4 linked regions of the Nothobranchius furzeri genome follow. The protein of the gene in region 1 purifies or fractionates together with the protein of each later gene. This does not show direct contact. Links are inferred from orthologs where the notes say so. Each region holds a gene or a part of one and is shown in the gene's direction. Other genes may lie near its edges. The genes, in order: plekhm1, vps39, vps41 and vps33a.

Region 1 (3,603 bases):
CAAGGAGGGGAGTGTAGGGGAAAACTGGGGCAACACCATTTAAGGATGTGTCAAGTTGTAACAGAAGCAAACTGCTGTTCTAACATTCTTAGTTGACATGGTTTTTTTGTCTTTTCCACTTGTCTCGAATAACAAAAGCTGAGCTTGATAACAGTCCTCATTTAACTGTCCATCTTAAAATAACCTGATTTAGAACCCAAATTGGTTACTATTGGCTTACCATATAGCACCAGAAGACCCAAGTCAGGGGACACTGGTATGACTGCTATGACCAGGGCCCACTGGTTATAGCACTATCAAAGACAAACCTTTCTTTGTTTTAAACTTAAAAACCATCAAAGGTTTTAAACAGTATTTTAATGTTTTGGTCACCCTTTTATTTCAGGGTTCATCTGTGTATATTCTTCATAACAGTGAAATCTTTCTTAAAATGGACCCTAAAACCTACAAACATTAAGTGGCAAGGAGGAAAAACAAGGGCCCCGGGCGTGATTCGATTCCCGGACTCCGGGGTGAGAGTCGCATGTGCTAACCTGTCAGCCAAGTGGACATCCCCATGATCAAGTAGCTAGGGCGCATGATCTAGCTGATCCAACATAATCAATTGGGATGCGGTGACTAGACACTCACCCTGTCACATTAAAAAGGCCAAGGACCATGAACTGAGCCCTGTGGAACCCCTCGTGATGAAAAAAACCCAAAAAGGAATAGAAGTTGTTTAAACTGACACAGAAAGGTGTCTGCTTTTATGACATTCCAGTTAAAACAGAGCTCTAATGGGATTTTAAATGATTATGGTCCACTCTGTCAAAGGCAGCAGTCAAATCTAAAAGTATCTGGAGTCTGTAGTAAGGAGAATTTCATTAAAACACCCAACAAAGCAGAGTTCTATGAACAGACTTAAATCATAACTGAAAAACCAAAATCATCATCTAACAAACCTGAGTGTTTGTGTTTCTGTCTAGGTGTCAAAGAGAGCTCTTTGTCTGTTGGCTCAAGTAGAACAGGAACCTCTGCTTAACCTGGAGCAGCTGAACCCTGAGCTGGTGACACACTCGGAGTCCATGACTCAGGCCCACACTCTGAGAGAGAAGCTGCGTCTCCTGGGCGACTACCTGCTCTCCTGCCGCAGCGGAGCCTGCAAGAAACTCCAAGCAAGGTGTGTTTGTTGTTCGAATGGGGTATCTGCGGAGATTTCTCCACTTAACTGCACTGTGCATCACGAAAGAGGTCAGGAGCCCCATGATAATTAGCTGCTTTCTGTTTTGATGTCATGGTTTTTTCCACATCTTTCCAGAATGGGCCAGCGAACATATCTGCTAGAGTCGAGCCATCTTTACAGCGTCATGGATCTAAGACAGGTACTTTTCTGACTCTCTGATGTAGCAACAACCAGCTGCTGTACCATAGAAAAGAAATCTGAATTTTTTTTCATTTTGTGTGTTTTATAGATAGCAGAGAGCCAATATGCAATCTTCCTTGACCCACTGGTGCAGCACGCCTCTAATCACGTGCTGAATTGTGACTTGTGCACTCAGCGTGGCTACATCTGCCAGATATGTCACTCCGAAGATATCATCTTTCCCTTTCAGTTCGAAAGCATTATCAGGTATAATCTCATAATCCCATTTTTTGGTGCCTTATTTCCTTTTGTTTTGGTTATATTTTTTAAGATTGTCACTTTGTTATGTCTGTTTAAATAGTTCCTTTGTAGCAGGAAGTAAATCAAGTACCCAGTAAAAAACTGGCACGTTAACTTTGCTGCTGTTGTAGTTAGTTTGCTCATTTCACAAATAAACAAATAAGTAAGTAAATGGGATTAATAACAATTTATTTATACACATGGCTGATTAAATTTGGAGCAAACACACACATTTTTGTAACATTAAAAAAATACTTACTTTGGGAAATAGAGTTTTTTATTTCTCTAGTTTATGTTTGGTGTCTGGATTATCTCACTGTATATGAAGTGACTTGGACAAAACGAAAGGTTTACAAAAATATTTTAAATCTGGTCTAGCATTTGTAAGAGAAGTTGTTGTTTCTACTGGTAAAATGGATAAAAAGTCCTCTTAATCTGTTTTTTATTTCCGTCCTTGTTTCTGAGCAGGTGCACAGCCTGTAAAGCCGTATTCCACCGGTCCTGCAAGTCCACCACTGATTCTTGTCCACGCTGTCAAAGAATGAAGAAGTACCTGGAGAGGAATCTGCAAGAATGAGAACTGAAGCTGGCTGCAAAACTCCACCTCTTTCAGGATGTTTGACATCTGTTAGAGGAAAGGATTCACAAGACGTAACCAATTATGCAATTATGAGAGCGATCAGCGTGAGCAAACCTAAAAAACGAATAGAAGGGAGCCTCAGTGCCACAGTAGCTAGACCTTTGCACTGATTCGAAGGTGCACACACTTGACACGATGCAGCCAAATGTTACTGCGTGGAGATTTCATTACCTCTACAAATATCAAGCCACGGCATCAAAACAAAGACAGGACAGTGGGCGATTGTAAACAACACACGTTTACATTGTTGTTCATTATTTAGTGTCTGATTCTCCTCGGTCATGTCTACCATGCATGCTTCTTATTCTGTATTTACCTTAATGTCAAGGAACTTGTAAATAATAGAAAAAGCTCTTTATCAAATTCACTGATTTTGATTGTGCCTTTTTAAAACTTGTCCCATGATTTATTCTCACAGTTTAAAAAAAACTCACGACAAATCTGTTTGTTTTATTAACCAATAAAATAAACGACACAGAAGCGTTAAATTTTTAGGTTTTGTATAAATATGAGTGCTGCAAAATTTCTATCTGCTGCGTGTACGGAAGGACGCGCGTTCAAAGAAAAGAGGTTTGCAAATTAAGATTCGGGTTAGATAATTTTGTTGGATCTAAGGTGAAAATAGATGATGTGTATTTGCACTATACAGATAAATGGCTCAATTGTAGCTTTACTATTTCCCAAGAAAACTAATGATTTATGAAAACTTGCTTTTTATTCCTCTTTTTTTTGTTTATCTTTTTTTGTTTTTATCAATAATTGTTTGGTTATCATTAATTATTTGTGGAAACTGTCAACAATAAAAGCATTACATGTTTAATAATTTCATTTTGATCTATGCACAGCATATGGCATTTAGAAGGCACATTCTGCAGTACTGTTATTCTTGATGTGTACTCGTTTTATCTTAAAGGGTCAAATTGAAATAAATATTGGAGTGTTGAATTTGGTTCTGTTTTTATTTAAGGAATAAATCTGGCCAGTTGTGTTTTGGACACTTGGGTGAAGATAGGAGTGGTGTGAGACGTGACGATAACCCTCAGATTCGCTGATGGACACCAGAGGTTAGGGAAGGCTTCAGGCTGAAGAAGGAGGCCTACAGGGCATTGTTGGTCTGTGGGTCTCCACCATCGGTCTCCACAAGGAGCTGACTAGTACTTGAGAGTCAGGTGATGTTGCTGAGATAACGTTTTAGGCATAGGAAGAGTTTGACTACTGCTCAGCTCTGAGGAGGTTCTGGCAAACTATCAGATGTCTCGGGGGTGGCAATACACGTTTAAAGTGGGATTTAGCTACTGGGGATGTGGTTGGGTTGTGGAAA
Region 2 (4,305 bases), on another chromosome or scaffold:
TCTTCTCTTGAGGAGGAGTTATCATGAAACAGCTGTTTGGGACAAATCTCCTGGTTCTAGATCCAGCCTAAGTGTTCCTTTATGCAGAACTTCCATGAGCTTTCCTTCCTGCTGCTGATCCCTGTTAATCCGATCAGATCATCCTGCTGCTCCGATCCTCCTCCGTCCCCAGCTGCTGATTCAAACCAGCTGTTAATTAATTCTGCATCTGCTGCATTCAGTCGTGCAAGTTTTAATCCTCCTCTTGTGTCACAGCTCTGCAGGTTCTGCTGGACCAGTCCACCAAGGCCAACTCTCCTCTGAAGGGTCATGAGCGAACTGTTCAGTACCTGCAGAGGCTGGGTGAGCAGTCAGACACTCGTGGGAACTTTGATGAACTCAGGTGAACTCTTGACCTTCTAAACCTTTTTCACTCCAACAGGAGCGGAGAATCTGGGAATCATCTTTGAGTTTTCTCCCTGGGTCTTAAAGATGTGTCCTGAAGATGGCTTGAAGGTGGGAAAAGAAGTTGTGTGTGTGTGTGTGTGTGTGTGTGTGTGTGTGTGTGCGTGTGTGTGTGTGTGGTTTTTTTTTTTACTCCTAATATCCTAAAATTATTCATTTATTCTCTAGATCTTCACTGAAGATCTGACCGAGGTGGAGACTTTGCCCAGAGACAAGGTGCTGCAGTTCCTGAAGGAGGGCTTCGAGGAGCTGGCCATCCCGTATCTGGAGCACATCATCTACGTGTGGGATGAGAAGGGCCCAGAATTCCACAACGTGCTGATTCAGCTGTACCTGGGCAGGGTGCAGCGGCTCATGAAGCAGTACCTCAACTCTCTACCAGAAGGTGCGTGCCGCAGACACGTTCTCAGGTGGAAGCAGAAGCTCTTTGAATCCAGGTGATTGTTGTTTGTTTTTAAACTAACCTGGTGGATACGGAGATCACTGGTGAACCTGTTTCTGGGTAGACATGTTGTTAACGAGGGCTGCATGCTGGTTGAGCTGTAAAATGCTTCCGAGTAGAAGTTCCTCAAAATGGAATGCGGCCCTCATTAACATACCCTCAGCTTCACACATTTGGCTTTGGAAACTTTAGTGATTCTTTAGTTTGGAGGGAAATGGTGTTAAAATCCTCTTGACTTCATGCTGCGGATTATAATCCAGTGTTGCTGATCTGTACAGGTCTGTTTACCGTTCAAAATGTTTTAGTAAAATTCAGATGCTGATCGCTGATGTTGAAACGCCTCTACAAGACCAGTGGGTGGTAAACGCCCGATAATTCTCGTGGATTCGCCTTCAGGATGCTTTAAGTTCCTGTAAAGCTTCACTTTGCTGTCACTGAAAATCAGATGAATGATTCCTGAGGTTCTTTGTGTGTTGACGAGATGAAGAGTGTGTGACTAATAAATGACTTCAGCTGTAACTAACTGATACTTTCTGGTGTTTCAGGGGTTCCTGCTGTTCCTGCAGGTCAAGAGAATGGAGAACTGGGAGAGTTCAGAAACAAGCTGCTGTCGTTCCTGGATATCTCCTGCAGCTATGAACCTTCCAGACTCATCAGTGATTTTCCATTTGATGGTAGGAAGTGACTTTTTGTTTCAGGCGTTTGCTCGCTGTGAGCTCCAGAGAAAAGCTTCTGTCCTACAGCTGATCTCAGGGATGTAAACGGACTACAGGAGGACATGCATGAAGGTCTGGTGCAAGCCCTGGAGGCATGTGGACTCGAGAATGATGTCCTCCACAACATAAGTCAAACTCTAGGCATGTGGGACAAGTCTGACCCACATAACAGCTATCTGTGGGCCATGAAGTCTTCTATATTACAACCAGCCTGCAGTACTAAAACTACTAGTCCCAGAATGCACTGGGACACCAAGCCTAACGCCTCCCTGCTGCAGAAGAGTTTGAGCAGGAACCAGAACAATTAAGAGAAAAATAAAGTTGTTTTATAAAAACTGTTTGCAGCTGAGGTAGAGGAAATGACTGGAGGAGTAAGTTGTTTCTGTTTTCAGTTTACGGTGTTGACCTTTGACCTTCCAGGGTTGCTGGAGGAACGAGCTCTCCTTCTGGGTCGTATGGGTAAACACGAGCAGGCGCTCTTCATCTACGTCCACGTCCTGAAAGACACACACATGGCTGAGGAGTGAGTTCACCTGATGTCATCAAACACTTGCTGTCATGGAGATTTGTTACTGACGCGCGCGTGTGTGTGTGTGTGTGTGTGTGTGTGTGTGTGTGTGTGTGTGTGTGTGTGTGTGTGTGTGTGTGTGTGTGTGTGTGTGTGTGTGTGTGTGTGTGTGTGTGTGTGTGTGTGTGTGTGTGTGTGTGTGTGTGTGTGTGTGTGTGTGTGTGTGTGTGTGTGTGTGTGTGTGTGTGTGTGTGTGTTGCAGATACTGTCACCGACATTATAACAGCTCAGTTGAAGGAAGTAAGGATGTGAGTATTATTTTGTCTAAATATGTTTTATTGTTGTTTTTTAATTATTGTAAAACTGGGATTGATTAGAAATACTCTGTATTTGTTCAACTTGTTAATATTTTTCTGAGATCCTGCCTGGTTTTAGGTTGGATCCTTCTAGACGTTTCTGTGATTACATCCTTGACATTTTCTGTAAAATGATTGCTGGCATGTGCCCTCCAGGTGTACCTGTCACTCCTACGGATGTACCTGTCGCCTCCTGATGCCCACTGCCTGGGACCCATCAAGATGGAGCTCTCAGAGCCTCAGGCCAACCTTCAGGCCGCCCTGCAGGTTCTGGAGCTCCACCACAGCAAGCTCAACACCACCAAGGTCCATTTTAGTCTCACTTTCCTCAGACAGTCCTCTTCATTTGGACAAGTGTCCATGTATTAAAATCAGAACATCTTATTCTGCTCATCCAGCTACAACGCCTTTAATAAACTCAAGTCTCTCCTGCTGATGTTTTCTGTGAGGCTAAAGCGATGCTAATGCTAGCTCTGTTCTTCTGATCTTGCTTTTCCGTTTTTATAAACCACCAAATAGTTCCCGAGCGCATCCACTGCTGCGTGTAATTTCACCAGTGTGGGACTTTGTTGATTAGGAGACAATAAAACTTTAACTAGAGTTAAATCTGGAAGCCTGCAGCAGACCTCTTCCCCTCGGCTCACTGACCTGTCCGTATAAATGTATATGTTTGTTTCAGGCCATCAACCTGCTTCCAGCCAACACTCAGATCCAAGAGATCCGGGTCTTCCTGGAGAGCGTCCTGGAGCAGAAGGCTCAGAGGAAACGCTGCAACCAGGTTCTGAAGAGTCTGCTGCAGGCCGAGTTCCTAAGAGTGAGTCCTGGACCTCTCTAAAGAGATTCTTTATTTCAATATCTCATTAGAATCTGATGTTTTTTATTTAATAAGGGTTTATTTTTGCATCTTGAAGTTTTAAAAAGCCCCTTGTGGCCCGGAGCCACAGGTTCTAGGCACGTGGAATAATAAAAGAAGTTCTCCATAAATAACGTTCTCATGAAACAGATTTTTGGAGGTTGGAGGGCTTTTTGCTGCAGGGGTTTAAGATGCTTTGTTTTGTTTCCAGGTGCAGGAGGAACGGATCTTCCACCAGCAGGTTAAATGTGTCATTACAGAAGAAAAGACCTGCAGAGTCTGTAAGAAGAAAATAGGAAACAGGTAGGGGCATGTGAGGGAAACCATGTTTCTGCAGATGTTTTCAGACCAAGTGATTAATAATCTGATGTTATTATCTTATCCTCTGTTTCAGTGCGTTTGCTAGGTATCCCAACGGTGTGGTGGTTCATTATTTCTGCTGTAAAGACCGGAGCGTGTGTCCCACCGAGCAGTAGAACCCACTCCTCACTCGGACCGAGACTTTTCCTCTCTGGGCTACAGAGATAAAGATGAAGGACAGCGGCATCCAGAGCCGGACCGTGGATCCAGGCCTCCTTGTAGGAATTCTTAACCTGACATAACCGTTGTTCTTAGAGCGGAGGCTGAGGTTCTCGTTCTGTGCCCATGAGCAAACAGGAGGAATGTTCCGAAACGCTCAACAGGACAGGAATAAAGAGGTGAATTGTTACATTGGATGTGTGTTACTCTAACACAGACAGGATTAGCTGCCCCACAGGGGAAAGAGCTGGTCGCTACGGATGTTTGTTTGCTTGATCGCCCTCGCTGCCTCCCTCTCCTCCCTCCTGTAACACTCTGTAAACATCAGAACTCCCCAACGGACATGTTGGGTCAAAGGTCACTCATGGCACCCCTGATGTTTCTGTGTAAACAGCCAACGATCTGGCCCTTATTACTGTTTGTATTTATCAGACTACACCCACCATCATGATGCTGTTTACATCTGG
Region 3 (3,800 bases), on another chromosome or scaffold:
CGTCCATCTTGACTCGCAACGGGGAAGGCTGTTGTTTGTTTAGCGTCCATGAGCCAGCAGTGAACGACTCGACTAGCAGAGCTAACTGTTAGCATTAGCAACACCACCACACGGCAGAAGCTCCTCCAGGCTTGTGTTTTTTGTGGAGATAAAACATCCACGCTGCAAGTCAGTGCTGGAGTGGTGTTGCTGTTATCCAGTCTGAGGCAAGATGTCCAAATAACAGAAAATAAGACTTCAAAACCCGCCGTTTGTAGCTCAGCTGTGATGTGGGTCACGTTTAGTTCCTAGAAATGGTGCAGCGGTATTATTCCTCCACCTGCTGGAGAATTCTAAAGATGTAAGAGAAGTTTTCTGGTTGGGAGACAAAATGAAATGGAAAAACGATTAGATCTAGATGGCTGAAAACCAGCTACTAACGTGTGTACCTACTATAGAAATGCACTCATTGCTCTTTAATCTTATTCCTTTTCTTATTTTCCTGAAGGGCTTTGCCACGCTGATCCGGGAGTGGCCTGGAGAACTTTACAACAACATGGCCATCGTTCAGGCCGTCACTGACCACCTGAAGAAGGATCCGACCAACAGCACGCTGCTCACCACGCTGGCTGAGCTGTGAGTCGCCTCAGCGCTCGCTTTCATCTAAGCTTCTTGTTAAGTTGCTGAACAGGACTTGATGCTTTCTCAGGTACACGTACGACCAGCGCTACGACAGAGCTTTAGAGATCTACCTGAGACTGAGACACAAAGATGTCTACCAGCTGATCCACAAGCACAACCTGTTCTCCTCCATAGAGGACAAGATCGTCCTCCTGATGGACTTTGATAAGGAGGTAACAAACCAACCTATTTATTATTTAGTCCATCTAAAGACCATTTATGTAATTAAATGTGTACGTTTTCATTAGAAAGCTGTTGACATGCTTCTCGACAATGAAGACAAGATTTCTGTGAGTAAATTTGACAGTTTTGAATGTCCTGGTAAGAACTTTGCTGCTAGCTGATGTCCATGGCTCTCCCGACAGATGGACAGGGTGGTGGAGGAGCTACATGGTCGACCTGAGTTGCTGCATGTGGTGAGTTTTCTGTAACTTGGATGTTTTAGGGGTTCATTTGAATTCATTGGTGCAGCGTGATGGCTAAGCCGTTTCTCTCCTAGTATCTCCATAAACTGTTCAAGAGGGACCACCACAAAGGACAGAAGTACCATGAGAAGCAGATCGGCCTGTACGCCGAATACGACCGGCCAAACCTTCTGCCTTTTCTGAGAGACAGCACTCACTGCCCTCTTGAAAAGGTACTGTGTGTTCCTGCCACCAGAATTACAAACAAATTAAGCTTCTGTCATTTCTTCTTACTTGAACTTTGTCGTTTTCATCCAGGCTCTTGAGATTTGTCAGCAGAGGAACTTTGTGGAAGAGACGGTCTTCCTGCTAAGTAAACATTTAGAAACAAACGCATCTGTTAAGGGAAACGTGAGAAACAAATGCAATTTTTTTTTCTCGTTCGTCTTTCAGGCAGGATGGGAAACTGTAGACGAGCCCTGCAGATGATCATGGAGGAGCTGGAGGACGTGGACAAAGCCATCGAGTTCGCTAAAGAGCAGGATGACGCAGAGCTGTGGGAGGACCTCATCTCGTACTCGATCGACAAGCCGCGTAAGACGTCACTTGACTCTGAACTTTTATCTCATTGTCTTTAACTCACTCCACCCTCACTAAACCCAGCGTTCATCACGGGCCTCCTGAATAATATCGGCACGCATGTTGATCCGATTCTGCTCATCTATCGGATCAAGGAGGGCATGGAGATCCCGAATCTCAGGGACTCGCTGGTGAAAATCCTCCATGACTACAACCTGCAGGTCAGGTGGCTTCTCTCAAAGAAAAACTCTATTTATTTAAATGTCTGCAGGTTGCAGACTGATTCTTTGGTGGCTTAAAGATTACATGACACACCAGGAGCTTCCTTCATGTAAAAACTTGTTATTAATCCATTAAGTTCTGCTTTTTGAAGAGTTATAACAGGTTTAACAGGTAATTTAATTGGTTTATATGGCATGAAATCTTCTGACTCACTTGCTTAATTACGCGCTTTTATTTCTCGACTTGTAGATTCTTTTAAGGGAAGGGTGTAAGAAGATCCTGGTGGCCGACTCCCTCTCCTTGCTCCAGAAGATGCATCGAACCCAGATGAGAGGAGTCCGGGTCGATGGTGGGAGCAGATTCTATTGCTAGTTTGTGTTGAACCAGTGCAGATGAACCCCTAAATGTGTTGATTCTGTTCATTCTTTCAGAGGGGAACATTTGTGAGTCGTGTCATGGTACTATATTACCATCAGGTGGGTTGATAATGTCATTGATCCCTGTGTTTTTTTTTTGTTTTTTTTTTTATGTTTACTGTATTAACAGCTTCATGTGTGTGTTTCAGACATGGCCCAGCCTTTCAGTGTGGTGGTGTTTCACTGCAGACACATGTTTCACAAGGAGTGTTTGCCGTCTTCAGGAATAGTAAGTCTGCATTCAAACACCTCTTTCCCAACTCTGGTGTTATTTTATCAGAAAACCTCAGGAACATCCTCCACTTTGTTCCCATTTTTACTTTTCCAGATTCCTGGAGTGCAGTTCTGTAACATTTGCAGTGCGAAGAGGCGAGGACCTGGAAGTGGAATACTCGAAATGAAAAAGTGACACTTTAATGCCCTCATGTTGTTGTTATTGATGCTTTTTGTCTCCTTTTTTCCCTCGTCGGTACGCTGATGAACAGGAATCTTTTTTCCTCAGTTGATGAACTGTACTCTCACCAAAATACAGAACTGTTACCCTTTATTTGTTTGCTAACTGTAAAGTGCCGTGTTTTGTCCAGATCACCTTGAATGTGATGAAGAATAAAATCACATAAACTCTGACTGTGTTGTTGATGCTTTATGTCATCCAAAATGCTTCTTAGGTTGAGAGTATCATAAATCATCAAAATGAGTTGCTGAGTGCATCACGGGAGTTTGATGCTCTCTACGGCCAATGCAAGAGCTACAGCTTCATTTTCTGTACAAATTTAAGTTCATTACTGGTTTGCGTCGATTCATCCAGGGTGTATCCTGTTTGTCTGGCATTCATGAACAAGATCTCATCTTGTAGTCGCAGAGATCTCATCTGTGCTTTATTGCACATCCTTATATAATTCAATTATTTGGGTGTCTAGTTGACAAGTGAGGACTGGATGGAGCAAAAGATGGGCCGGTGGATTGGGGCTTTGCAGTTGTAGCCGGTGCTTCATAACTTGTTCTTGTTGAAAGAATAAAAGGACGAAAATGCTCTTGATTTATTGGTTCATCTACATTCCCACCCTCACTGGTTTGGATAACCAAAAGTAAAAGATCCCAAATAAAAGCAGCTAAAATGAGCTTCTTTGGAGAAAAGATGAAGAGCTCCATCATCCAGGGGAGTTCCCATACATTTTTTGTCAGTATTTTAGGATTTATGGGTCTAAAGCAAGCCGTTTCAAAAAGTACCTGTCTGTAATGTCACAAATGGGAAAATTAGAATAGAACCACCTCACACATGTAAGCGAGAGCTGATGCTAGAGGAGCAGCTACTCTATTCCGAGCCCCTACCGAACATCGGAGCTTCTCAGCTTATAGCAGTCTGGGGAAGGAGAAGTGGCTGTGGTCAGCTCCTGCTTATTTTCTTAAAGTGACTGAGCACTAAAACGCCTAATTTTGTAAGGTACTGAAAATGTCAAAAATAAAATTGCTGAAATGACTGTGAGAGAAATTAAGTGCAAAGGACTTAATATGTTTT
Region 4 (5,079 bases), on another chromosome or scaffold:
AAGGATGGCTTACTTATGTCAGATCTGCAACAAGGAAGGAGAGCTGTTGTAGGCCAGGTTCTGGTTCTGAGGGCAAGAAAAGGTAACCTCTTACACCTGGGATTATTTTAATCTGCCACCATGAATAAACTCAGTTCTTAACCATGACACGTCACCTCAGCACACAAATAGGTAGTCAGTGCATATTACCACTTCACTTACAAAGAGACATCTTAAAAATAGAATTTCAATCGAATATTCATTTACATTTCTGACATCAGCTGCATGCATACAGAGTGATCTGCATACACTTTTATTCCGTCTGATCAATCAGTTTAACTGGCTCGTGAAGACAAGGAATTTTGTTCCATCAAATTAACACAGGGTAGGAAATATGCTCCGTGTTAACACAGATGACTCACTCTCCCTCTCTTCTGAATGAAGCGCTGCATTCATTCAACTTGAGACATTTCTGTGTATCACCTGACATAACGCAAAATTAGAATATGAAAACAATGCTCATGGTGAAGATGCAATGTTTAGAAAACCTTGCAGAGAGATGGTGATGCCTACCTGAGAATCCAGCCCTGCCTCCTCTCCTCTTGTCGGGGAACGGAGCGGACTAGATTTCTGTGCAGAGCCTGGATCCGATCATAGAGTTAGTCATTGCGCATGGTGCCTGTCACCAAAACCGTGCTTTATTTATTTATTTTATTTTATTTATTTATTTGGCTGGAGGAGTTGTCTGTTGCAGATCACCCCGATGCGTGGGAAACGGTCTTCTATGCGTGGAGGATGGTTGGAAAGCCCTTGGTACCGTGGGAAGGAAACCCCTGGATCTGAAGTGATAACACAATGATGCTCATAAGTGGGCAGTCACCACCTGATCCAGTTTTCTTTATAAGTGTCTAAATTTATCTCAACATGCAGGCACTCCAGTTGAGAAATCACTGACATTTTGATTACGCAGTTGCAGTGGTGCGCCTTTTAACGCTTTTCTGTGTTTATACATGTATAAACATACAGTAATAAATAAACTGTACAGTAGTGTTTAAGTTGTATTGTAATTCCGTTAGAAATCAATTATTTGTGGGGGGTTTATTCCACTTAATTTGGATTACACACTTTGCCCGCTAACAAATGTTTTACTTTAAAAATTTGATCATTTTTGTCTTAATACAGTTTGAGTCTCGTGTTGATTTGGCTACAACAATCATATGTCCAAAAACGGACCCTAAAATTCAAAGATAAGTGTCCCTAAAATAAAGACGTTTAGTGCTTTGTTTTGACCGCAGACGCGCGTTTGTTTCGCAGGAAAATTGCGTCATCTAACGGTCACTCTGAATTTTACACTCAAGGAAATGATACCAAGACGTTTCACTCCTCATACTTCCTTGGTTGTAAACCCGAGACAAAAGCAACTTCATTCGGTGCATTATCGTCTACATGTGGTTGACATACAAAGAAATTTAATATGTGACACTGAGGCAAAGCTCTTTTAAACAGTACGGAGTTGATTTTATCTAATCCTCCTTTACTTCCGGGACACCAGAAAATTATTCTAGACCTAAAATATAATTTTTTAACCTACGTAATATAACTAAAGTCTACTAACATGAAGCTGAATTAAACTTGAATTTTTATTTTATTTTAATTTCCTAAATGTCTTGTCAGTACTGTGACGCATTTGGTCATGTGACTTTGACTTCCTGCCGAAGTCACCTGATTTTTGTGTTGTGTTGTGAGAAAAAAATGGCTGCTCATCTGTCCTACGGCAGAGTGAATTTAAACATTTTAAGAGAAGCGGCACGAAAAGAACTTCGAGAGTTTTTGGACAAATGCGCGGGAAGTAAGGTAAATAAAGTCACTTACAGACGCTGGAAAATATCAAAAGGAAATAGTCTTTTCTTATTTGTACAAAAATGTATTCATGATCCTGACAAATTAGACGGATTGTGTCGCGTTTACAGTACAGTCTATGGTTTAAACCAACGTGAAACGCGACCACGGGCAAATGCGCGTGTGAGCTTAAGTTTGATTTAAAACTTGTTTCCATAAATAAAATGTTTTTCATGGATACATGATGTGTTGTTGCTCTTTAGGCCATAGTTTGGGATGAGTATCTGACAGGACCTTTTGGACTAATAGCTCAGTATTCTCTGCTGAAGGTAAGTGCCTAACCCTTTACAGATTATTAAAATAAAACACAATGTAAGTAGATCTGACAGCCTGAGCCTTCACTTCTATTGCTCATTTTTTTGTGTGTTTTTCAGGAACATGAGGTGGAAAAAATGTTTACCCTCAAGAGTGGCAGACTCCCCTCTGCTGATGTCAAAAACATCATCTTCTTTGTTCGTCCCAGGCTGGAGCTTATGGACATCATTGCTGACAATATATTCAGGTGCCCCTCACTGTTATAAGCAACCAGTTTATACATCTTCCCTTAAAGAAATCCTTACAAGTATAACATTTGCATCTTGGATCGTGCACCTTTCAGTGAAGGCAAGCTGCATTCATCACGAGACTTCCACATTTTGTTTGTGCCTCGGCGGAGCATGCTGTGTGAGCAGCGGCTGAAAGAGCAGGGCGTGCTGGCCTCTTTCACCAACATTGATGAGTACATCCTGGATCTGATTCCTTATGATGGAGACCTGCTCTCTATGGAGTATGAAAGTGCTTTCAGGGTGAGTTTTTTCCCATTACAAATATGGAGTGTTATTTAGTCACAACATCAGAACCTCCTGCTCTATTTTATGTGTTTGAGTATATCTTTGCATACCATTTCATATTTGTACTTGCTTTCATCTCATTCAGGAGTGCTACCTGGAAAATGACCTGACGAGCCTGTACCACACAGCCAAAGGTCTCATGACCCTGCAGGCGCTTTACGGCACCATTCCACAGATTTTTGGGAAGGGAGACTGTGCACGGGTGAGTAAACCCAATGATCTGTGCAGTAACTGGAAAAAACTGTTTACACACACAATGTTAATATTAATAATGAGCAGATTAAAGACCTTTTTCCTGACAGATATTCTCTGTTTTATAGCATGTTGCCAACATGATGTTGCGGATGAAGAGGGAGTTTGCTGGCACTCAGAATCAGATTCTGCCGGTGTTTGACACTCTTCTCCTCCTGGACCGCAACATTGACCTGCTCACACCTCTAGCTACACAGCTCACTTACGAAGGCCTCATTGATGAAATCTATGGAATAACTAACGGTCAGAATGCACCATCATACGTTTGGAATCGTTCTATTTTTGTGTGAGATAAAAACATAAAAATGTTTAATATATTTTCTATTTCAATGATATATTTTAGTCTACTTAATTATTTTTTGCTAAAGGCACAGTTCTTCCTTTTTTTTCTCTTTGCCGTCTGACAGGATATGTCAAGCTTCCTCCTGAGAAGTTTGCACAGAAGAAGCAAGGAGAAGCTAGCAAAGATTTACCCACAGAGCCCAAGAAGTTACAGCTCAACTCAGCAGAAGAGCTGTATGCAGAAATCCGGGACAAAAATTTCAATGCTGTTGGTGCTGCACTCAGCAAAAAGGCTAAAATCATTTCTGCAGCGTTTGAGGTTGGTTTTCCTTTGTTTTTGTTTTTTGTTAATTTTTTTGTTTTTTTTAGATTTTGCACCTCTTAGTGTTAATTCCTACCAGATAACATAACTGTCTTATTTTATTTTGAAAGAAAAGGGGAAAAAACACATGTTTTCAATTATGGCTGCTTTCCACTTCTGTAGCTCTGCATGCTGGGTTTTCTGTAAAACACTAATGAGCAGATCTTCCTAATGGAATGCAGCCCTACTCCTTCAAGTCTAATTGTCTGCTGTAGGCTTTTATTGATTTATGTTCACAAGTGTTTTAAGGAAGACGTTCAAAATTGTCATCAAAGGTTTTTTTTAACAAATCAGAAAACCTACCTATGCCTTTGTTTAATTTTAAATTGAGCATTTGCATTTTTACATGGCCTGAAAAAAATTTTAATCTGCTATATAACTTCATTATCTATTTGAATGGTCTCCGTTTGGAGAAACAGAGATTAGTTCTGAACAGACGAACAAGCTAACAGCTAACATTTAAAACTTTAGCCAAATATAAACTAACTGGAATTTGTCCAACCCCTTCCCCTAACCCCTGACTCATCTCTGAGTTCCCTTTCTACTGGTTATTTTTGAAATATGATCGGTTAATCTGAGTTTAACATGCTGGCTAAACCTGAAAACAGTCTACCACCCCTATTTCCTGCATTAGCAGCTGATAAAAATAGGGAAACGCTTGGATTAGAAAAGCCTGACAATTCCACATCATATTGTCAAATTAGCATTCATGGACACACCCATCTTGGCTCACGATGGGGAAGGCTGTTATTGGTATAGCATCCAGGAGAGAGCAGAGCACGTCTCGGCTAGTAGAAGCCAACCGTTAGCATTTACAGCACCGCATCATAGCAGAACTCCTTCAGGCTTGTGTTGTTTGTGGAGCAATGCAAATGGAGTCAGTGGTAGCTGTTAGCCAATCAGAGGCGAGATGTTTGAATATAAGGAAATAAGACTCCAAATCCTGCCGTCTTCTGCTCTCCTCTGCTTTGGCTCACTTCTACTTCCTGAAACAGGAGCTCCAGAGCTTTTCCCCCACAGAGATTGACTCACAAAGCACTCGTTTATGCTAGAGACCACTGCAAATGTGTTGAGATATTTTAAGACATCAGAAACAGTTTTTAACGGGCCCAGCACAGACTAGTCGTTAGCCAGTCTATCAGTCTATCCATTTATCCCAATCAAGGTTTGTCACAGATCTGTCTACATCAAAAACAAACTACATTACGGATTTATTTACATTAAAAGTAATTCTAGTATACTTGTTTATACTCACTTGTTTTGTTATCTTTTAGTGCAGTTGCTTGTCCTAATGTAGCTTATTTAACTAAAATGTTGGTGATTTTAATTAGAAATGTTCTCTAACTGTTGTATAAAACAGTTTTAACAGACCTAACCACGCTTTGTCCCTCAGGAACGCCACAATGCTAAAACTGTGGGAGAGATAAAGCAGTTTGTGTCTCAGCTACCTCACATGCAGGCAGCACGGAGCTCACT

Evidence for each region.
Region 2: the proteins of plekhm1 (region 1) and vps39 purify together in Homo sapiens (co-immunoprecipitation; 3 studies listed by BioGRID and IntAct, with this or other methods). This does not show direct contact. The link is inferred for Nothobranchius furzeri from reciprocal best matches to the Homo sapiens genes PLEKHM1 and VPS39.
Region 3: the proteins of plekhm1 (region 1) and vps41 purify together in Homo sapiens (affinity purification with western blotting; 4 studies listed by BioGRID and IntAct, with this or other methods). This does not show direct contact. The link is inferred for Nothobranchius furzeri from reciprocal best matches to the Homo sapiens genes PLEKHM1 and VPS41.
Region 4: the proteins of plekhm1 (region 1) and vps33a purify together in Homo sapiens (affinity purification with western blotting; 3 studies listed by BioGRID and IntAct, with this or other methods). This does not show direct contact. The link is inferred for Nothobranchius furzeri from reciprocal best matches to the Homo sapiens genes PLEKHM1 and VPS33A.

What each region holds. Positions count from the first base shown.
Region 1 is NC_091756.1:48,095,272-48,098,874, forward strand, and holds the end of plekhm1 (pleckstrin homology domain-containing family M member 1), read left to right. Parts: intron 1-965; coding exon 966-1,159; intron 1,160-1,297; coding exon 1,298-1,361; intron 1,362-1,451; coding exon 1,452-1,609; intron 1,610-2,110; coding exon 2,111-2,219; 3' UTR 2,220-2,678; downstream 2,679-3,603. UniProt on the Homo sapiens protein: Acts as a multivalent adapter protein that regulates Rab7-dependent and HOPS complex-dependent fusion events in the endolysosomal system and couples autophagic and the endocytic trafficking pathways.
Region 2 is NC_091758.1:17,005,946-17,010,250, reverse strand, and holds part of vps39 (vam6/Vps39-like protein), read left to right. Parts: intron 1-255; coding exon 256-342; intron 343-421; coding exon 422-495; intron 496-612; coding exon 613-829; intron 830-1,431; coding exon 1,432-1,560; intron 1,561-2,022; coding exon 2,023-2,125; intron 2,126-2,372; coding exon 2,373-2,418; intron 2,419-2,622; coding exon 2,623-2,772; intron 2,773-3,145; coding exon 3,146-3,280; intron 3,281-3,530; coding exon 3,531-3,622; intron 3,623-3,713; coding exon 3,714-3,795; 3' UTR 3,796-4,305. UniProt on the Homo sapiens protein: Regulator of TGF-beta/activin signaling, inhibiting SMAD3- and activating SMAD2-dependent transcription.
Region 3 is NC_091747.1:46,098,113-46,101,912, forward strand, and holds the end of vps41 (vacuolar protein sorting-associated protein 41 homolog), read left to right. Parts: intron 1-487; coding exon 488-615; intron 616-688; coding exon 689-833; intron 834-908; coding exon 909-950; intron 951-1,025; coding exon 1,026-1,076; intron 1,077-1,159; coding exon 1,160-1,297; intron 1,298-1,382; coding exon 1,383-1,437; intron 1,438-1,517; coding exon 1,518-1,658; intron 1,659-1,727; coding exon 1,728-1,864; intron 1,865-2,114; coding exon 2,115-2,214; intron 2,215-2,296; coding exon 2,297-2,341; intron 2,342-2,430; coding exon 2,431-2,510; intron 2,511-2,609; coding exon 2,610-2,690; 3' UTR 2,691-2,908; downstream 2,909-3,800. UniProt on the Homo sapiens protein: Plays a role in vesicle-mediated protein trafficking to lysosomal compartments including the endocytic membrane transport and autophagic pathways. Acts as a component of the HOPS endosomal tethering complex.
Region 4 is NC_091757.1:37,278,228-37,283,306, reverse strand, and holds the start of vps33a (vacuolar protein sorting-associated protein 33A), read left to right. Parts: upstream 1-1,681; 5' UTR 1,682-1,731; coding exon 1,732-1,833; intron 1,834-2,081; coding exon 2,082-2,147; intron 2,148-2,252; coding exon 2,253-2,380; intron 2,381-2,476; coding exon 2,477-2,663; intron 2,664-2,793; coding exon 2,794-2,910; intron 2,911-3,028; coding exon 3,029-3,203; intron 3,204-3,367; coding exon 3,368-3,561; intron 3,562-4,996; coding exon 4,997-5,079.